2 linked regions of the Ovis aries genome follow. The protein of the gene in region 2 purifies or fractionates together with the protein of the main gene of each other region. This does not show direct contact. Links are inferred from orthologs where the notes say so. Each region holds a gene or a part of one and is shown on either strand. Other genes may lie near its edges.

Region 1 (4,393 bases), on a different chromosome or scaffold from region 2:
CCTTTGCTTTTCGTTTCTCTTCTTTCCACAGGTATTCGTAAGGCATCCTCAGACAGCCATTTTGCTTTTTTGCATTTCTTTTCCATGGGGATGGTCTTGAGTCCCGTCTTCTGTACAATGTCACGAACCTCTGTCCATAGTTCATCAGGCACTCTATCAGATCTAGTCCCTTAAATCTATTTCTCATTTCCACTGTATAATCATAAGGGATTTGATTTAGGTCATACCTGAGTGGTCTAGTGGTTTTCTCCACTTTCTTCAATTTAAGTCTGAATTTGGCAATAAGGAGTTCATGATCTGAGCCACAGTCAGCTCCCGGTCTTGTTTTTGCTGACTGTATAGAGGTTCTCCATCTTTGGCTGCAAAGAATATAATCAATCTGATTTCGGTATTGACCATCTGGTGATGTCCATGTGTAGAGTCTTGTCTTGTGTTATTGGAAGAGGGTGTTTGCTATGACCAGTGCATTCTCTTAGCAAAACTCTATTAGCCTTTGCCCTGCTTCATTCCATACTCCAAGGCCAAATTTGCCTGTTACTCCAGGTGTTTCTTGACTTCCTACTTTTGCATTCCAGTCCCCTATAATAAAAAGGACATCTTTTGCAGGTGTTAGTTCTAAAAGGTCTTGTAGGTCTTCATAGAACCATTCAACTTCAGCTTCTTCAGCGTTACTGGTTGGGGCATAGGCTTGGATTACTGTGATATTGAATGGTTTGCCTTGGAAACGAACAGAGATCATTCTGTCGTTTTTGAGATTGCATCCAAGTACTGCATTTCGGACTCTTTCGTTGACCATGATGGCTATTCCATTTCTTCTAACGGATTCCTGCCCATAGTAGTAGATATAATGGTCATCTGAGTTAAATTCACCCATTCCAGATGGGTGAATACCAGAATACATTACAGTTCATTATACAAAAATACTCGTATACAGTCTCTCGGAAAAATTCCAACACAAAAGGACACTCTGCCCTTCACTGCCCCCGCCCCCATCACCCACCATCCCATCCCCAAGGCTCGCTTAAGGGTGGGTGAATAAAAGGAGACAGAGCGGAGATGCACTGACAGATACCACGACTCAGGGAGAGATGACCGCAAGCTCGAAACCCAGTAGAGGGCGCCCGTCTGCCGGGCCTCCCGGGACCTCGCCCCTCCCGGCAGGCTGAGACCTGCGTCCCGCGCGGCGTTTTTAAAATGGAAACAAACCCGGCCACGCCCCCTGCCCCGAGGCCGCCGGGAAATATGGCGCCGCCGCTTGGGGCGTCCTAGCCGGCCACGCAAAGGTTTCCTCAGGTGGAGTCCGCAGGCTTCCCCTAGCCCTTTCTCCCTCGGCTCCCTCCCTGCGCACCTGATCTCCAGCTAACTCGATGGACACCTCAACGCAGGATCCGGCCGCCCCCGACCTCTCCGGACTTCTCCACCTGCCCGCCTGCCCCGCCCTCCGGAAGTGACGACACTCGCCCGGCCCTGCTGGTGTCCCGTCGGGCCTCGCGGCGGCGCGGGAAGATGGCGGCGGCGGGAGCCGTGGAACGGAGCTTCGTGGAGCTCGTCGGCGCTGAGCGCGAAAGGCCCAGGCACTTTCGGGAGTTCACCGTCTGCGGCATTGGTACGGCAGCATCCCAGCAGAGCGCGATCCGAACCTTCCCCTCGGGCCTCCCCTGTGGATTTCTCCATCCCAACCCCCGCCCCCCCGTTACCCTTCTGAGCCCACATGCCTGTTAGCACAGGAATCAGAGCTACCTTAGTGTCCTGCTGCCTCCTCTTCCCTCCCCTTTCATTCTGTATGGACTGTCAGTCCGTCCTCCTCTGCTTTCTCAGCGACCTCGGTCCGTGTCATGCCCAGAGAACCACGTGTGCAGGCTGACCACTCACCTTTTACAGGAACTGCAAATGCAGCGGCCGGAGCCGTGAAATGCAGTGAGAGCGCGGGAGGCTTCTACTATGTGGAAAGTGGCAAGTTGTTCTCCGTCACCAGAAACAGATTCATTCATTGGTGAGTGCTGTGTTTGGCAAGCCCTCTGGAAGGTCGGGTCGTTCGGCGGCTGAATTTTCCTGTCTGGCCCTGAGATGTCATTCATTTTCCGAGTGGTTGTAGACAGGAAAAGAAAAAAAGACTGCTTTCTATTTCTGTCTTAATCAGTGGAGAATTAAGGACACCCAGAGTTCTGGAAGAGTTACCCTATCAGGCAACACTAAAAGCAGAAGAAATGTAGCATAGGGGCTAAAGCCCCAAAGACCAGTTTTTAAACATGAGCCCGTTATGTATTTGTAGTGCTTTACATTCATCCTATGTGTTTGAGCCTTTACTTGTCAGGCACTGCTAGGTGTCCTGGGGACAAAATGACTAACAAAAACAATCACCGTTTTCATCATGCAAGGTGTGGCAGTGTAAGAGACGTGGACCTACCTTTCATGGGGCAGTTTTGAGAAGAAAAAAGGCATCAAGCTAATGTTCATGCATAGGTATATCAATACAGATTTTTCATTCTTGCCTCAGAGGAGAAGAATAGGGTTTTGAGAGGCTAATGGGAAGACCAAGTGTTATTGGTGGGGCTGGAGAGGCCTAAAGTAAGTCACATTTAACCTGAGATTGGAAGGGTGAAAGGTTAGCCAAGCAAGGTGTTGTGGGAGAGAGCATTTGAGCAAGTGGGATCACTGTCTCCAAAATCCATGAGGTGAAAAGAATTTGACAGGTTTGAGGAACTGACTAAAGATCTATGCGGCTTAACTGCAAATGGCAAAATGGAAAAGGACGTGAGCGATGCTGAGACTAGTAGCTAGGGTGGACTCATCATGAAGGACCTCAGGCTGTGCTTGGTCTCTGCTCTGGTGCATGGGCTTCTCATTACGGCAGCTTCTCGTTGCAGAGCACAGGCTCTAGAGCGTGGCCTTAGCTACTGCATAGCATATGGAGTCTTCCTAGGCCAGGGATCGAGCTGATGTCCCGAGACTTGGCAAGCAGATTCTTAACCACTAGACTACCAGGGAAGCCCCAAGATATGTGAATTTTATCCTGAGTATGTTGAGCAGTCACTGAAAGTCTATAAGCATGATCAAAATCACATTTTAAAATAATCATTCTGCTTTGTGTAAAATAGATTTGGGATGGATGGGTAAAATACAAAAGAACAGTTTGCTTTTATGATGGACCAAGTAAGACATTGAAAGGTTGTTAAATCACACAAAGATGCTGGGATTCTTGGCCCCCGGAGGAGAAGAATTCAATCCAGGGCCAGAGACGAGGTTTGATCGCTCAGAGCTTTTGTGTAATAAAGTTTTATTATAGTATAAAGGAGATAGAGAATGCTTCTGACATAGGCATCAGAAGGGTTCAGAAAGAGTACCCCCCTGTTAGTCTTCAGCTGAATGTTATATAACCCACTCCAGTACTCTTGCCTGGAAAATCCCATGGACGGAGGAGCCTGGTGGGCTGCAGTCCATGGGGTCGCTAGGAGTCGGACACGACTGAACGACTTCACTTTCACTTTTCACTTTCATGCATTGGAGAAGGAAATGGCAACCCACTCCAGTGTTCTTGCCTGGAGAATCCCAGGACGGGGGAGCCTGGTGAGCTGCCGTCTATGGGGTCACACAGAGTTGGACACGACTGAAGCGACTTAGCAGCAGCAGCAGCATTCTGTTAATGAAAGAAAGGAATGTCTTGAAACTCAGAATGGCACCAGGCCCCTCACCCATAAGATGCATTTTGGGATAATCTTGGCACCAAATGGTTCATCCTGGGCCATAAAATGATTAACTTGAATCTTGAAGAAGGGCAGATCACCATACAAATAGTTTCATTTACATAGATTAGAGGAACAGTATCTGAGTATAACATACTGGTTTGTCAAGGAGGTTCTGAGCCAAGAGGTGGAACCAACTTGAAGATAGAGTTTGGGGTAGATGCATAGTATGTTAACATAGCTTAAGATAAACATTTCCATAAGAAAAAGGCATTGGTTGTCTCTAGGTTTGAGAATAGTTAACTTCAGGTGAAACCAGGTGTCATTATGGCAACACAGTATTTTAAGGGAAACCTCCTTTTAAATGTGTATAGAGAAGGAAAAAATATCGATAGTTTGTTTCCTCCTGCTTCCTTCTGCCGCTTAAGAGAGATAAAAATGTCTGACACTTGCAGGCTATTTCCTCCGTTTGGAGACCGCTGGCCTTCATGCCTGTTACCCTCTCAACATGTTGGTGACTCAGCTGTGGGAGTAGCTAGAAAAACAGAGATAGATGGATTCGAGATACACTTAGAGGGTAGCTTCATTAGGACCAGGTGATAGACTGACAATGGGATAAAGGATGGTAAGGGAAAAGGAGGGAGCAAGGACAAGTTCCCGTCTTTTGGTGTGACTGACCAGATATCCTGCAGAAGGATTGCCGTCTTCTG
Region 2 (3,603 bases):
CCCATCCTTCCTTTATTCAACACAGCCACAAACTCAGGCCAAAGCTCCTTCAGCAACAAAAAAAGGACTGGAGAAGAGCCCCCAGAACCTCCACTGAGTCAGCAGAGACGACAGCATGGAACACAACCAGCAGCAGGGCAGGCAGCTCTCAGGAGCTCCAGCTATTCGAGCAGAACAGATGATCCCTAACAAGGGCAGACAGCTAATGGGACACTCAGTGGAAGGCCGAAAACTGCCAACACTTCTGAAACGAATTAGCACTGCCAGACAGAACAAAGCGATTCAATAAGGCGGAATAATATAAGATTAGGGTTAGACACATCAGAACAGACAGCAAGGGTGCTTATTATTCTATAACAAACACCAATCTGTTTTTCCAAACAACTACCTATGCTCTGCATGACAAATGAGTTGCTTACCAGTTTTGCTTCAAATCCAAATACCGAATGTTGACCCCTTCTTTAATAGCTTCATAGTTACTTTCAGATCCCTACATGAAAATATCAACAATGTAAGCTCCTTCAGTATAGAAATCATTTCTTTTCACCTTTATATCCCCAGCACCTACTAAACTGCCTCATCCACAGTAAGTCAAACTTATTGAATGAATAATGTATGCATTTAAAAAATTAAGTAAACCAGTGAGTCCCAATACTTCTAAAGATTGAATACTCTGCTTATCTGATGACTGAAATGCGTTCTACTAAAAGAACTAGCAATTTTATATAAATAAAAATGACAGAGATGAATGTTACTGTTCCTTACCCAGATAGCATCAATAATGTTTTCCTTCAGGACTCTATTTATATCCCAACTATGTGCTTGTTTTTCTGAAGAATCATCTAATTCCCATTTACTGATGTTTGAACTTGTCAGGCTATAAAAGCTCGCTCGCTCTCTATCCCAGAGGACGCTTGAAAGCTGTATGGAGAGGAGAAAAAAAGTTTATAGATTATTAAATTCTAGTGTCAGTGATGATTTTCCTGAAATTAAAAATTCATATATTTTATAGCTATTTGATTAGTAATCCTAGCAGAATTCTTCATTTAGGATTCAGGGGAAGAAGTGATCCTGAAATAGACCTTGAGAGTAAGGAGGATTTTCACAGGCAGAAGGCCCAGGAAGAGCAGAGTAGGGAGGCAGGAAAGTCAGAGGCTCTTTAAAGAACAAAACACAGTCCTGCTAAACTAGAATGTGGATTATAGCTAGGAAAGAAGCAAAACTGAAGCTCACACACAGCATAGTCTTGAATGTCAGTTTGTAAACCAAGTAAGCTAAGGAGATAATATCCATAGCTTGTGAGCACAAGAGATTTGTTACAGGAGAAGGAATCTGGAGGGGTGTGTGTAGTTCCACACGTTTATATCACTTCATCTCCCTTGCTTCTGAAGAACACATCTAACCCAACTTAAAAATTGCGTATATGTGACTGCTGAACTAAAACCCTATTTGTCTCCACTTTTCCTGTCACTATGTCTCAAATCTAGAGAAGCTGGTAAATATTCTGCCCCATAAAGAGAGGGAGACACACATACACACACAACCAGGATTTTATACCTGGGTCTCTGAAAAAGGTGACAGTGCCATTAGAAATAGGTCAAAAGAAAAATGAGTTTTGTAAGTCAATAGGAGAGAAGAGAACACGAGCAATTTTCTTCTAGACATGTTAAAGCTTACGTTCAAAGACCATTTAAGGAAGCAGATAATGACAGCAACCTGAAATCAGAGGGAAGAGCCCCACTTCATAAAGGATGTGGTACTGCAGTACTTAGCAGGGCTAATGCAAAGGGACCTGCTGCATGGCACAGGGAGCTCTGCTCAGTGTTACATGGCAGCCTGGGTGCACGGGGAGTCTGGGGGAGGATGGCTACCCGTGTATGTATGGCTGAGCCCCTTTACTGTCCACCTGAAACTGCCACAGCATTGCTACTCAGCTATACGCCTATAAAATAAAATGTTTCAGAAAAGTCGGGGGCGGGGGAAGGTGCTCTCAGTTCACACACATGTGGGCATGCATCTGTCGCTGAGCAGTTTTGAACTTTGGGCAATTTTGGTAGCCTCACTGAGGCCATTTCCCCATTTATTTAACACAAATGGGACATGAAGCTCTATATATTACGGATCACAATTATTACAGGAGATAACACACACAGGGCTCCTGGCAGAGCAGATGCCCCACTGCTCTGTTAGTGCAGTTAGTTGAAGATGTTAGTTCCCAGCATCTTCACTCACTACTCCAGAGTCTGAGCCACAGCCCAGCAGACATCATCCACACAGACAGCTGGAGGCTCGGGGGTGGAAAGCACACTTTTGGTTACGTCTAGAAAGCAAAACTAATCCTTGAACACATTTATAACTTTACATCATAGTTTTAACTCAAAAAATGAGCTTACCAGATAATCTATAAAACTTAAGAATAATTAATGTTACAGAGGATGCAAGAGGGTTAGTATGAACTCATCTAATCATCATAATAAAAATGCCTCACTGAAAGATCAAAGTTTTCATCTCACATACACCACTGTACATACAGTGGCAACGCTAACTTCATAGGAGACTGCCAACTTACTGATTTCATTAAGAAACAAGCTAGTAAAACAGTCATTTCACCAACTTACAATGAGATCACTACTAGGAGATAAGATTCCCAGAAGAGAAGAAACCTTCCGACCAATTCCTGAGAGCACGCCTTGTCCTTGAGGCAGGACATGCTGATGGATTTTTCCTATACTTTCAGGTATCAGGCGGATTAGTTGGCCCCCCGATGAGGATAAAATAAAACTTCCTCCCTGTGAACAAATGTGAAATTAGTTAAGTATTTAAGACTAAGAAAAGAAAATGAACACAAATCACTTTGATATGCTTCGAGGGAAATTATCTGTACCTCAACATAAATCTAAAGAATAAAAAAAGAACAGTGCTATTTTTAAAAAATAATTTATGAATCCATTCACTTAATACTACACAGAAAAACTTCAGAGCCATTTTTTTAATTACTTTTTTTAAATTCTGATTTTTAAGTTATAGGTTCACATTACATAGGTTCAACAAATTAAGAATCAGATTTTATTTCTTTGGTAAACCAGCAGAATATGCATTAGCAAACCAGTCTTCCTCTAAGAGTTTCTGAATCACTCTCTAAAGATGTTTCTGACAGAAACGAATACCACTGGCTACTATGCTCCACTGACAGGTCAGAGTCCCACGAGAAGGGCTTCCCTCGGCCTAAGTGCTCAAATCCTAGACTCTTACATTCTTTCCTTGCCTCCTTTTTGATCTTCTCCCAGCCCTACCTGTATGATCTGCTCGAAATCACAAATTTTTAGTCAGCCAAACCTGAATTCCAAGCCAAATGACAGTTTCCCAATAAATATAGAAGAATATCCATCGTATACCTGTACTGCTGTTAGGAAACTATAGGTCTTATCACCTCCCAGATCTACGAACGTCTCTGTGTAGGTATCTTCACTCGCAAGGCTTGGCCAATAGCGGATGGATCCTTCTCTGGTGGCAACCATGACAGTAACAGCCTGAAACAAGATCATAACACTCAGCAAACACAAGAAAAGGAGCCCAAAGCGGCGGTCTGACGACACTGACATA

What was found. The genes of interacting proteins can lie anywhere in the genome.
Region 1: the proteins of NUP133 (region 2) and NUP160 purify together in Homo sapiens (co-immunoprecipitation; 4 studies listed by BioGRID and IntAct, with this or other methods). This does not show direct contact. The link is inferred for Ovis aries from reciprocal best matches to the Homo sapiens genes NUP133 and NUP160.

Annotation. Positions count from the first base shown.
Region 1 is NC_056068.1:76,491,369-76,495,761, reverse strand, and holds the start of NUP160 (nuclear pore complex protein Nup160), read left to right. Parts: upstream 1-1,492; 5' UTR 1,493-1,506; coding exon 1,507-1,606; intron 1,607-1,881; coding exon 1,882-1,993; intron 1,994-4,393. UniProt on the Homo sapiens protein: Functions as a component of the nuclear pore complex (NPC). Involved in poly(A)+ RNA transport.
Region 2 is NC_056078.1:1,013,860-1,017,462, forward strand, and holds part of NUP133 (nuclear pore complex protein Nup133), read right to left. Parts: intron 3,531-3,603; coding exon 3,396-3,530; intron 2,790-3,395; coding exon 2,619-2,789; intron 922-2,618; coding exon 766-921; intron 491-765; coding exon 420-490; intron 1-419. UniProt on the Homo sapiens protein: Involved in poly(A)+ RNA transport. Involved in nephrogenesis.